Sus scrofa: one gene and its partners. The protein of the gene in region 1 interacts with the protein of each later gene in a pairwise test. Links are inferred from orthologs where the notes say so. Each region holds a gene or a part of one and is shown on either strand. Other genes may lie near its edges.

The links. The genes of interacting proteins can lie anywhere in the genome.
Region 2: the proteins of KCTD9 (region 1) and NUP35 interact in binary tests that used the Homo sapiens proteins (3 or more experiments, as listed by UniProt). The two-hybrid records come from large-scale screens. The link is inferred for Sus scrofa from reciprocal best matches to the Homo sapiens genes KCTD9 and NUP35.
Region 3: the proteins of KCTD9 (region 1) and SDCBP interact in binary tests that used the Homo sapiens proteins (3 or more experiments, as listed by UniProt). The two-hybrid records come from large-scale screens. The link is inferred for Sus scrofa from reciprocal best matches to the Homo sapiens genes KCTD9 and SDCBP.

Annotation. Positions count from the first base shown.
Region 1 is NC_010456.5:9,504,173-9,507,819, forward strand, and holds part of KCTD9 (BTB/POZ domain-containing protein KCTD9), read right to left. Parts: intron 1,544-3,647; coding exon 1,422-1,543; intron 1-1,421. UniProt on the Homo sapiens protein: Substrate-specific adapter of a BCR (BTB-CUL3-RBX1) E3 ubiquitin-protein ligase complex, which mediates the ubiquitination of target proteins, leading to their degradation by the proteasome.
Region 2 is NC_010457.5:88,586,243-88,590,562, reverse strand, and holds the start of NUP35 (nucleoporin NUP53), read right to left. Parts: upstream 2,811-4,320; 5' UTR 2,721-2,810; coding exon 2,681-2,720; intron 1-2,680. UniProt on the Homo sapiens protein: Functions as a component of the nuclear pore complex (NPC).
Region 3 is NC_010446.5:74,325,748-74,330,028, forward strand, and holds the start of SDCBP (syntenin-1 CG9291-PB), read right to left. Parts: upstream 2,811-4,281; 5' UTR 2,751-2,810; intron 1-2,750. UniProt on the Homo sapiens protein: Multifunctional adapter protein involved in diverse array of functions including trafficking of transmembrane proteins, neuro and immunomodulation, exosome biogenesis, and tumorigenesis.

The sequences.
Region 1 (3,647 bases):
CGCTGCACAACGGGAACTCCCTATAAATTATATTTCTGAGATATCACAGGAACATATGGAATTTTTCTTGGAAGCAGAGTCTGTGTTTGCTAAGGAGAAATTTAGGTTGATATAAATCATTCAATAATGTGACACTTATCCATAGAAACCTAAAGAAGCTGGGAGATAGATACTAAAAAACTAAGAAATTCTCCTAATTTATTTGGATTTAATATCTCTATCTTTTAAGTCTATAATCTTTCCTACTTGTTCGACATGCCTGTTATCTTTTTAAGACTAGTATGAAAATTTGTTTTCCTCTCATTAACAAAAATCAACTACTCACCATAATACATGGGTAACTCATTTAACTACTTAACTTCTCAGATGTTTAGTTGCTTCATTTATAAAACGAAGGGGGGAGTTCCCGCTGTGGCACAGTGAGTTAAGAACCCTACTGTAGCAGTTTGAGTCTATGCAGAGGCATGGGTTTGATCCTCAGCCTGGCACAGTGGGTTACAAGGATCTGGCATTGATGCAGCTGCAATACAGGTCTCAGCTATGGCTCGGATTCAATCCCTGGCCTGGGAACTTTCATATGCCGCAGGTGTGGCCATAAAATAAAAAAATAAAATAAAGGGACTAGAAATGATTAACTTCAAAGGCAGTATATTATACTGAAAGGTCATTCTGACCTGGGTTTAAACGAAAATTAAACTCTGTATACTGCTGTAACTTAGAACATCATTATCTTCACACCATCAATTTTAAAAAGCCCATGTTTTGCCAAATAAGTGAGGTAACTTGGGCAAAGTAAATACAACATAACTGGCAGGGTCAGTACTTAATTTGTGTTCCCATTCCATCTTCTCCTTTAATCTCCTTCCTGCTTCAAAATTCTGATTCCCCTGAGGATGGAATGAGGTGAAGTGGATACTGGTTATAAAATACAACTGGATATTTAAAAAACAAAACCAACAAACAAACCAAAACCATTACCGTGGGGTTGACTGGTGAGTTAACTCTGCTTAAAATTCTATCTTATTTAGCAAGTTTTCCCCAAAGTAGGTGTCCGTAATGGTACAAAATTCAGAACATTCTTAGGAAGTAAACTGAATAAGCAATAGCATTTCAAATTAAAGAGATCAGTTAGATTTCTAGTATTAAAAATGTATGTCTTATTATAATGTAAAGAGATTCCTCATAGAAATATATGAACCCTGTAGAAAGATATGAGTATACTGGAACGTACTCAGGGTTTTCTAACTCATCAATGAACTCTAAGTCCAAATTACTTAAATTCCAAAGAGCAAAGTGTAGACAATCATTTGCCAAAATCCTGTATTCTGAACAGTGTTATTAAACTACTGCTTAAGGGAAACAGCATAGTACTAAGAAGCTGAGGGCACACTGTAGACAGCTCATAAAAAGGTGAAGGTTACCTGATCAAAGCAATATCATCAATCAGTCCACCTTTTCCATTATACACACTGGTGGCTTTTATGCCGAGTTTATTGCTGGCCACAGAAAGCAAATCAGATAAAGTTCCATACACCGCGACCACCTGTAAACACACCAGATTAATTTAAACAACTTATACAATTTTGTTACAAATTATAAACCACCACACTCTAAACAGGTCTAAAAAAAAAAAATCAGATCGTCATATAAGATTTTGAGAGATTTTAACAGCATCCTTTTCTTTGTGACTCAAATATTTACTTAATGCCTAATTTATCCATAGAACTAGAGAAATTTGTCTGACTGAAATCAACCGATAATCTTGTGTTAAAGTACTTGAGTTGTAAGAGACCCACACTTTTAAGAGACTTGCACTTGAATTTAGATTCTGACCTTTTATAGCAATCAGCTTAAGATGATTTAACCTCTTTATACTCCCGTGGCTTTCACGAGAAATGAAGACAATAGTTGCATGTGTATCAGAAGGTTGTCATAAGGATGAAATGAGTTAAGGCCTGACAAGAGCTTAGCAAGTCTTTACGAGGTTGGTTTTACATTACTCCTTTTTTATTTTTTATTTTTTTGTCTTTTTGCCATTTTCTTGGGCCGCTCCCATGGCATATGGAGGCTCCCAGGCTAGGGGTCCAATCAGAGCTGTAGCCACCAGCCTACACCACAGCCACAGCCACACGGGCTCCGAGCCGAGACTGCGACCTACACCACAGCTCAAGGCAATGGCGGATTCTTAACCCACTGAGCAAGGCCAGGGATAGAACCCGCAACCTCATGGTTCCTAGTCGGATTCATTAACCACTGAGCCACGATGGGAACTTTGACATTACTCCTTTTTTAAAGGAATGGTTTGTTTTTAAAACAGAAACATTTTACTGTTTATTATAACATTTACTACATCAAGTACCATATGAAGTTAACAACTTCCAACCTTACCGAACTTCAATAACTATTTAAGCCAGATTTTGACTAACATTCTAAAACAACATAGAGCTGGGTTACAATGAATTGCTTTGTCCTGCTTTAAATCAGGCAGTCTGGTACTTGTGTAATACACGCGCAACTGGTCAGGTAGGGGGCTGAGACTCTACATGGAGTGAAGTTTTTGCTCCAGTTAGAAATGTAACTAAGGGTTCCTAGTGGCTTTGCTGTATAGTTGTATCAGTATCAGGATCTTTCAAAGTTGTGAATAAAAAGTAGCTTAGAAGCTGAACTCGAAGCCCGAGCAACCAGTTGAGTTCCCACAGGATACGGGATAAAGGGGCCGCATAAAATGTGAACCAGGGCTGGTCCTTTGTTCACCCAAGACTGGAGTAAAACAGGCACTAAATTTTTTGTTAAGTAAATGAAGTTAATAGTAGAGTGTGGAGGAAGTTTGTTTGCCAGAATAAGAGTGTGCGATCTTTCAATAGCAGGATACAGAGACTCCAACTCTTTTCTCTTGGATCATAACCTCTGAGAAGTGTTGCAAGCTGGGGCATTTTGGGGAAGGGCTGTAGGCAAGCACAGTTTAAAGGGAACTAGGTGGATTGTTAAGAATAATATACATCACAACATCCAAGACATGGAAACAACCTAAATGTCTATCAACAGGTGGATTAAGAAGGTGTGGTAGAGACGGCCAAAAAGCACATGAAAAGATGCTCAACATCGTTATTAGAGAAATGCAAATCAAAACTACAACGAGGTATCACCTCACTGGATGAATTGCCATTTTGAAAAGTCTACAAACAATAAACGCTGGAGAGGTTGTGGGGAAAAGGGAACCTTGGTTCCACTGTTGACGGGAACGTAAGCTGGTACAACCCCTGTGGAGAATAGCATGGAGGTTCTGTAAAAAACTAAATATAGGACTACAACGTGATGCAGCAATCCCACTCCTGGGCCTCTATCCAGAGAAAACCATAATTTGAAAGAACACACGCACCCCAGTGTTCACTGTTGACACTATTTACAATAGCCAAGACATGGAAGCAATCTAAATGTCCATACATAGAGGAATGGATGAAGAAGATGTGGTACATATACACAATGGAATATTACTCAGCTGAGGAAAAGAATGAAATAATGCCATCTGCAGCAACAAGGATGGACCTAGAAATTATCATACTAAGTAAGACAGAGAAAGGGGCAAACATCATATAAGGTCACTAATATGTGGAATCTAATAAAAATTATACAAAAGAACTTACAAA
Region 2 (4,320 bases), on another chromosome or scaffold:
ATAACCAAAACCAATATAAATCTCCCTAATATAAAATCAATTTTAAAAGAGAATTGATATTTCATAATCATCAATTCAAAATTAATCTTCACAATTCTTAGGGTAGCTATTATTATTACTCCAACTATGAAAATAGAGAAGCTATAACTTACTCTAATTTCAGAACAAAATACCACAGTAAGGAAAAGATGAGCTCTGGAGTCGGAGACATGAGTTTAAGTCTTGCAGCAAAACAGACATAATCATAGCACCCACCCATAGAGCTCTGACTAGAATTATAGCAAGTAAAATACTCAAGTCCCTTATATACAGTGAGTAAGCACCAAATATTCATTATTATTCTAATATTATTTTATAGTAGACAAAACTGAAGTAATGATATGTACATTGAGAACTTCAATTTCTGCTTATGAAAACTTAATTTTTCAACTATGTGACAAGCCTGAATGTGATCCATGGCATTCAGAGAAGTCAAACAATTTGTATTTTATATGGCCTTTATTAACTATTCCTTAACTTTTTGTTTTTTGTTTTTTGCCATTTTCTTGGGCCGCTCCCAGGCTAGGGGTCTAATCGGAACTGTAGCCACCAGCCTACACCACAGCCACAGCAACGCGAGATCCAAGCCAGGTCTGCAACCTACACCACATCTCATGGCAACGCCAGATCCTTAACCCACTGAGCAAGGCCAGGGATTGAACCTGCAACCTCAGGTTCCTAGTCAGATTCGCTCACCACTGAGCCACGATGGAAACTCCCTATTCCTTAACTTCTAAACAGCCACAGAAATATGTTTTGTGCTATCCAAATGCTGTCACTTATTTGATCTTCCCTTTATTTCCCATCAAAGTAGACCTAGATATTAGCAATGCAAGTGTACAAAAAAAGAAAAAGGAAAAGAAATTTAGGGAAAGAATAAGGCAAATACCGAAATAAGGTGTGAAGAGCTGTATTACATTGTAATTACTTCAAAATGCTCGTTACAAAGTACCATGGTACTATAACATATTTCTAAAAAACCTAACACTAAAAATCAAACCTAAAGTCTAAACAAAAGCATATTCTGAACATATATTTAGAAACCTATAGTAATAAATGTATTACAAAGTTTTAAATACTGCCTACTTTCACTCTCCCAGCCCTCAAAGGAAAACATACAAATATGGCAAGTATAACAAGAATTGTCAGGAAATTTTCTGACACATTCAGATATATATTGTGATACAAAAGAAAGCACTAAAGTGAGGAATGGGCAACGGGCTCTTAATTGAACTGTCACTAACTGCCCAACCCTCAAGCTAATTTCACTGAGCTATACCATTGGATCCTTCAAGTCAAATACCATTTCACAGTGTGCACTCCTAAAATGTTAAGTACTAAGTCTTCTCAGCCAGCACTGTTTGTTAAAGTAACTTAGTTTCAGTGTACCATTAGGTGCTGGGAAAATGTTTATATCCCGCCTGGAATATTTGCAGTGGACCTGAACATTCATATCCGCTAATGTCAGATTTCCGACCAATTATTCATATACGTAACCCCAAGAAATATACACTCCAAAATGTTTTGGGGGACTAGAAAACTTAGGAACTGGAAATTAAAGCTCTCTGATCTCCAAAATAATACAAAACACAAATACCTAGACCAACATCTGTACACAAGTTTAAATGTAGCTGAGTACCTACCTTGATATTATGCATTTAGTTTTATTATTAATACTAACAGTTCAAGTCACTCTACTCTCAAAAGAAACTTATTTTGCACAAAACATGGCAAGCATTATATATCCTTCAACTATAATAAAATTTATTCTATAGGTACATATTGTGCTTGCCTTCCTTTCCAAACTCATAAAGTTTGTAACCAACTTTTCAAATATTCTTACGATAGGTTTATTTTTTGTTCTAAAATTTTCGACCGTTCCCCCAAATTCCAAAACTCAGCAGACAAAAACAAAAAACTTGAGAGATTTTTTTCAACAACACATTTTAGTAATGCACCCCATTAAATAATGGTGATGATTTTTAATCATTACGTGACCGGTCAAATGAAGAGACCTCCTACAATACTGAGTCACTTTCCCAAGATAAAGGCGAGGGAAAACGAACGAACTCCTGGCTTCCTATTAAGGCTAATATCTCAAAGGCTGCCATCACCTGCCTAATTAAATGCCGCCGACTCAAACTTCCATTAAAAAGATTCTTTTTGCAAAGCCCGGGAGAAGGTAGGAATCAAACAGGAACTACAAGCCTAAGGTGACCAAACAGCCAAGGACACTAACCACACCCCAGAGTACCGCCCACCCACGTGTTCACAGGTGAGTTCCTTCCCATCAACGCTTCCCCGGATCTATGAACCCAGCTTGGCATCTCAGGCACTGATGGCGTCTCAGGTATGGGCAGGTCTGGCTCCGGCACGTAGGGGCACAAAATGGTTCAGCCACCGCAGACGGCCGTTCCCTCGCCCTCCTCGGGGCCCGAAGTTTCCTGGAACCGTTTTCGTGACGGCGGGGTAGCAAAGCTTCGGGGTAGGGGGCGGACTACGAACCTGGGGCGAGCCAGAGGCTCCCCCTTTGAGGCTGAAATTAACAGAAGAGACCCCGATGACTACTGCCTTCCAAGCTTGCCCGCTTCCAAGCGGCAAGTAGCACAGAGCTAGTGAGGAAAAGCAGTTTTTCACTCACCCAACGTGGGCACCTGGGAGTCCACGGCAAAGGCTGCCATCGCAGCAGCTACACCACTTAGCCCCGGACCTTCCCGATTTTCAAAAATGGCGGAAACTCTCCCCACGGGTAGGAGCGCGGTACCTTATGGGGTTGCGTAACTTCCGGACATGCGCCATACCAAAGTTGTGGCGCCAGAGCTGCCATTTTGGAATAGGGCAAGAGTCTGCGCAGACTCGACTGCTCTGAGAAGGATTTCTCTGGTAAAGAGATCAGCGTGGATCGTGTGGTTCTGGGAATGCTTTCGCTCGTCCTCTGAGCCTCCTGATTTGTTGGTGCTCGAGTTTTATAGAAGCGCAAGTTATTTTACTCACGGATTCATAAATAGCGTGAGTTTATTCAGTGCTCTGTCATCCGTCAGCTTTTCCAAGTACCACCTGGACAGGTTGGCTTGAAGAAACAGATTATGCCGCTTTCCAACGTAGGTTTCTGGGCTTAGGGCACCGAGCTCCTTTCTCAAGCATATTTTCTACCATCTCTATGCCATTTAAGATTTTTTTGTGTTATATGGGCACAATTTTACATTAAAGCATAACTCATACTTGCTCTTTTACTGGTTTATTACATGTTTATAAGTACAAAAGATATTAAATAATGGAGGAAAGTAATAAACACCCGTGCACTCACCATACTGCAGAATCTTGTGTGTTCCTATGCCATCCGGGCCGACCCCCCCCCCTTGCTGCTACTTTCCTTTCTGTAGAACGTATTCAAATATCATACATATGCTATATGTGTGTGTGCGAAAATAGCTTTTTCGTTTTGCTAATTTTATAAAAGTGATGTGCTATGTATATATATTCTGAAATGCTCTCTGGTCCATATCAAACTTACCTTCAAAGTGCTTACCCACCTACTCTCCCTGTTTCCTCTGGGATTTGCTGAAATTCAAAATCCAGCCAAGAACTTTATAATTTGTATGAGGCAATAACAATTCCAGGATTAAATGACAAGTTCCCAGAAGTTAAAGTTTTAAAACACTCACAGATGAATTATATTTTTTAAACATATATATATGTTGAACTGTGTCCCCCAAAATACATGTTAAAGTCCTAATTTCCAGTACATATTAATGCGACCTTATTTGGAAATAGGGTCTTTGCAGATGTAATCAAATTCAGATAAAGACATACTAAATTACTACAAAATTGGCAGCTTAAATCAACACAAATTTATCTTTATAGCTCTGGAGGCCTGAAATTCGAAATGAGTATTATAGGACTAAAATCAAAATGTCAGCAAGACTGGTTTCTTCCAGAGGCTCCAGAGGGGAATCTGTTTCCTTGCCTTGTGTAACATCTGGAAGCTAACAATATTACTTGGCTTTTGGCCCTATCCTGTTTCAAAGCCTGTGGCATAGCGTCTTCTATCTCTTTTAGCATCTGCTTATCTCTGCTTCAATCATCATATGGCCTTTTTCTTCTATAGTTAAAATCTCACTCCACCTCCCTCTTAAAGGATGTTTGTAATTACATTTAGAGCCTACTCAGATAATGCAGGATAATCTTCCCATTTCAATAGCCAGCTGTGATTAAGTTAATAGCCACAACTGCAAAGTAACATTCATAGATTCCAGAGATTAGAGTGTGGATATCTGTGGA
Region 3 (4,281 bases), on another chromosome or scaffold:
CATAGGTACAAAAAATTACCTCAGAATGGATAAAGGATCTAAATGTAAGACTTTTCTCAAACAATAAAAACTCTTAAACCAGGACAAAAGATTCCTGACGCTGGATTCGGCAAAGATTTATTGGATATGACACCAAAGGAACAGGTACCAAAAGAAAAAAGATATATTGGTCTTCATGAAAATTTTTAAAATTTGTGCATCAAAAGACACTAACAATGGGAGTTCCCACTGTGGCTATGAACCCAACTAGTATCCATGAGGATGCAGGTTCCACACCTGGCCTCCCTCAGTGGATTAAGGATCTGGTATCGCCAGGAGCTGCAATTAAGGATTCGGGAGTTGCCAAATCAAAGATGCAGCTGGTATCTGGTGCTGCTGGGGCTAGCAGCTGCAGCTCTGATTTGACCCTTGGCCTGGGAACGTCCATATACCACAGGTGCGGCCCTTAAACAAACAAACAAAAAAATACTAATAGAGTAAAAAGACAATCCATGGAATGGGGAAAAAAAATTTGCAAATCAGATGTAAGAGATTAATACCCAGAACATTTAGAGAACTCCTAAAACAAAAAATAAAAATTAAAAACATAAAATCAGCAAAGATCCTAACTTGACATTTCTCCAAAGAATATAGAACAGCCAACAAGCACACGAAAAGATGCTCAAATCACTAATCATTATGGAAATGCCAATCAAAACCATGAGATACCAACTCTCACACCCACGAGAGTGACAACTATCAAAAAAAAGTGTTGGTGACACGTGGAAAAATCTGAACCCTTATTCACTGTTGGTGGAAATACAAAATGGCACAGGGGCCATAAAAAAAAAAGTGTGGCAGTTCCCCTAAAAAATTGAAAATAGAATTCTATATATATATCTAGCAATTCCATTTCTGGGTATACTCCCCCCAAAACTGAAATCTGCATCTGAAGAGAGATTTTTATATCTGTGTTCAGAGCAGCATTATTCACAGAGATAACTCAAACGTGGAGGCAACCCAAATTTCCACCAACAAACGAATGGATAAGCAAAATGTGGAATACACACACACGGAAATGTAATTTTGTTGCCTTAAAACGGAAGGAAATTCTGCAACACACAACTACATGGGTGAACTTGAGGACATTATGCTAAGTGAAATAAGCCACTCACATAAAAGACAAAAACTGATTCCACTTATGAGATCCTTAGTAGTCAAAATCATAAAGATATCAAGAACAGCAGTGCTTGACAGGGGCTGGGGGGAGACACTTTATACCACTCTTTGATTCAATGTTGAGCCATTTAACTGGTTACCTCTTCGGAAACTAAATAAATGGACAAAAAAATGTTGGTGGCATTTGCAAAGAAATTAATAAATGCGAAGATAACTATTACTAAATGTTAACAGGTGTTGTTTGGGAGAATCTATCTTTTACGAAACTCTTGGCATTTACTACCTAAAAAAGAAAGAACCTAAATCCAGCAGAAACAGGAAAAACAACAGGTGAGTCATGTTCATTTAGGAACTATTCTCTTCAACAGCAGGTTTATTGCCAACCACAGGTAAGTTCTTCCTCATGATTTTTACATTCTTCTTCTACCGCCCAATCGCAAAAATTACTGTTGCCAAAGTTAAATAGAGACTGTAACGGAATGACTATTTCCTGAACCTATTAAAAGGCATTTCCTTATTTTTATTTCGCAGCAAAAACCACATGATCCGTAATATTTACTCGCCATTTAAAGTTTATAAAGTACGGTGGCCACAGGGAAAATGGGAAAAACAAAACATTCTTACTGTTTGTCCTCAACCTCAGATTTTTAAAAATTACAGAATGGACAAATTTTAAAGTAATCACATATATAGTTGAGATAGAAATTACCAGCCTGCGATTGTTTTACCACATAATTTCCTTTTTTTAACCAATTATTTCCTTTGAAACAACTGGGTGTTATGAGTTTGGTGAACTACATATACTAAGAGCTGTGTATGGTGGAAAAAACAACAGTACACAAGTTATGCAGACACTACATACAGACTAGATAAAGCTAGACACTTCTTTTTAGAAGTTGGCACATTATAAGGCTCCATGACTCAATCCATTTTGGTGATAAAGGCAAACTTTCCATATCCTTTGGGCTCTGCTCTCACATCATTACAAGGAAATCCTGAAACGAAAGCTTTGAGTCACGAGCCCTCAAGGGACGTTTCCTTCGCAGCCGCGGAGCGGGAACCGCGGCTCCTTCCTCCAGCTTGTCCAGAAACCCGGCCCCGAGCAGCCTCCCCACCCCCACCCCCCCCCCACACAAAGTCAAGGCTTCACCCCAAGAGGACGCCTCCTACCTCCCGCCAGACAGGACGCTGCGGTGAGGTCGCCGAGAAAGAGCCCGGGGACGCGGCGCCCGGACGACCCGGAGACCGGAGCCGCCGCTGTCCCCTCACCGCCCGGGCCGCCTCCGGGAGGAACAAAAAGAGTCGAGGCGGCCGCGGGTGGGGGGCTGCGGGCCGACCACGGGCTCCGTCCTGGCCCCGGCCCCCAGTCCGCAGGGTCGCCGGCAGCCAAGGGAGCCGCTCGCGCAAACTTTCGCCCCGGGCCGCGGGCGCCGGGAGGGGCGCGGAGACCACCGACGACAGGGCGTCGCCGTCGACGCGAGTAGCTGCGCCGAGACGCCCCTCCACTAAGCGGCCCGGGGACTCTGCCCCTCCGGTTCCGTCCCCGAGCCCGGGACGCCGAGGGTGCGCCCCTCTTTCCCCCTGGTGCTCACCCCGGCCGTAGGTACCTGATCGCCGCCGCCGCCTCCGGTCACTGACTCGGACTTCCGAGACCCGGAGCGAGGAAGGCGGCGCGCGCCCGAGGACCGCCTGTGAGGCGCGTCACCGCGCCGCTCCCCCCTTCCGCTTGCGCAGGCGCGCAACGCTCTGTCAGGTGACCCCGTCGCCAGGGTAACAGGGCGCGGGCGGCTCAGCGGCCCCCACTATTGCAGAGATTGGGGATGTAGAGCCCCCCCTTCCCCCAGCCAACCTGCTCCCCTCTCTGGGCACTTCGTGACCAGCGACGCCACTCTTCGTCTGCCTCATTCATGATGGTTCCCATCACCTCGAACACAGGGAGCCCCGAAACCCTAGCCTTTGGCGATTTCTTGGCCAGCCTTGGACTTCTACCACCGTGGTCATATTCATCACCACCCTCTCGGTTGACCGCTCTACCTACAGGCTCTGAAGCCTTCCTCTCTCTAACCCTTCCCAACCCCTGCCCTCTTTGTGTTACAACTTGTTTGACTTTTTTTACCCTCTGCCCGTCTGAGCTAAAGTTCACGGGTTGTTGAGGGTTATGTGAGGTAGTGCACAATAGCTGTGTCCTAACACAAAAAGTGAAAAACTGTTTCTTAAGGGCTATGTTCCAGAAGATGTCCTAAGAACTTGATGTATACAGTAGTCTTATTTGATCCTTACGTCTATCTGAGATATTCTTGCTGTGTTTGGTTTGTTTGGTTTTTTTTTTTTTTTAACAACTGCAGGTACTGGCTTGTGAACTTCCCCAGGCCAGAGGTAGGATCACAGCTGCAGCTGCAGGCCTGCACCACAACCAGGGCAACACCGGTTTCAAGGCTCACCTGTGACCTACAGCTTGCAGCAACTGCTGGATCCTTAACCCACTGAGCGAGGCCAGGGATCAAACCTGCATCCTCAGAGACAAGGCTGGGTCCTTAACCAGCTGAGGCAAAACAGAACACTGAGGCAACATCTTTAGCTTGTGAAGACACTGAGGCACACTTTACCTAAATTTTCCATACTTACCATGGAGTAACAGAGCACTTGACAAAATAGCATTTATTACCTTAGAAGCATTTTATTTCTAGCTAAATTATTTAGTACACAATAACCTAATCTGGGGCAAAACTAGTAAAAGTCTGAGCATAAAAGAGGTGACAAGTATGTAATATGTAGACTGTGCCCTCAGAGTCTGAGGTCTAGGTGATAAAATAGATATTTAATTGGATTGGGAAGGAAGAAATAAAACTAGTTTTGTTCACAGGTGGCATGGGTTATATAGAAAGTCCCAAAGAATTGGCCAAAAAAAAAAAAAGTGGTTATAGCAAGGTAGCAGAATTCAAGTTTAACATATGAGCCAATTGTTTTCTTATATAACAGTAGTAAACAATTAGAATTTGAAATTAAAGGCACAATATCACTCATACTGGCACCAAAAAATGGAATAAAATAATTAGGTATAACTGACAAAAAATGCACAAAATCTATGTGAGGATAAGTATAAACATTCTAATGAAAGAAACC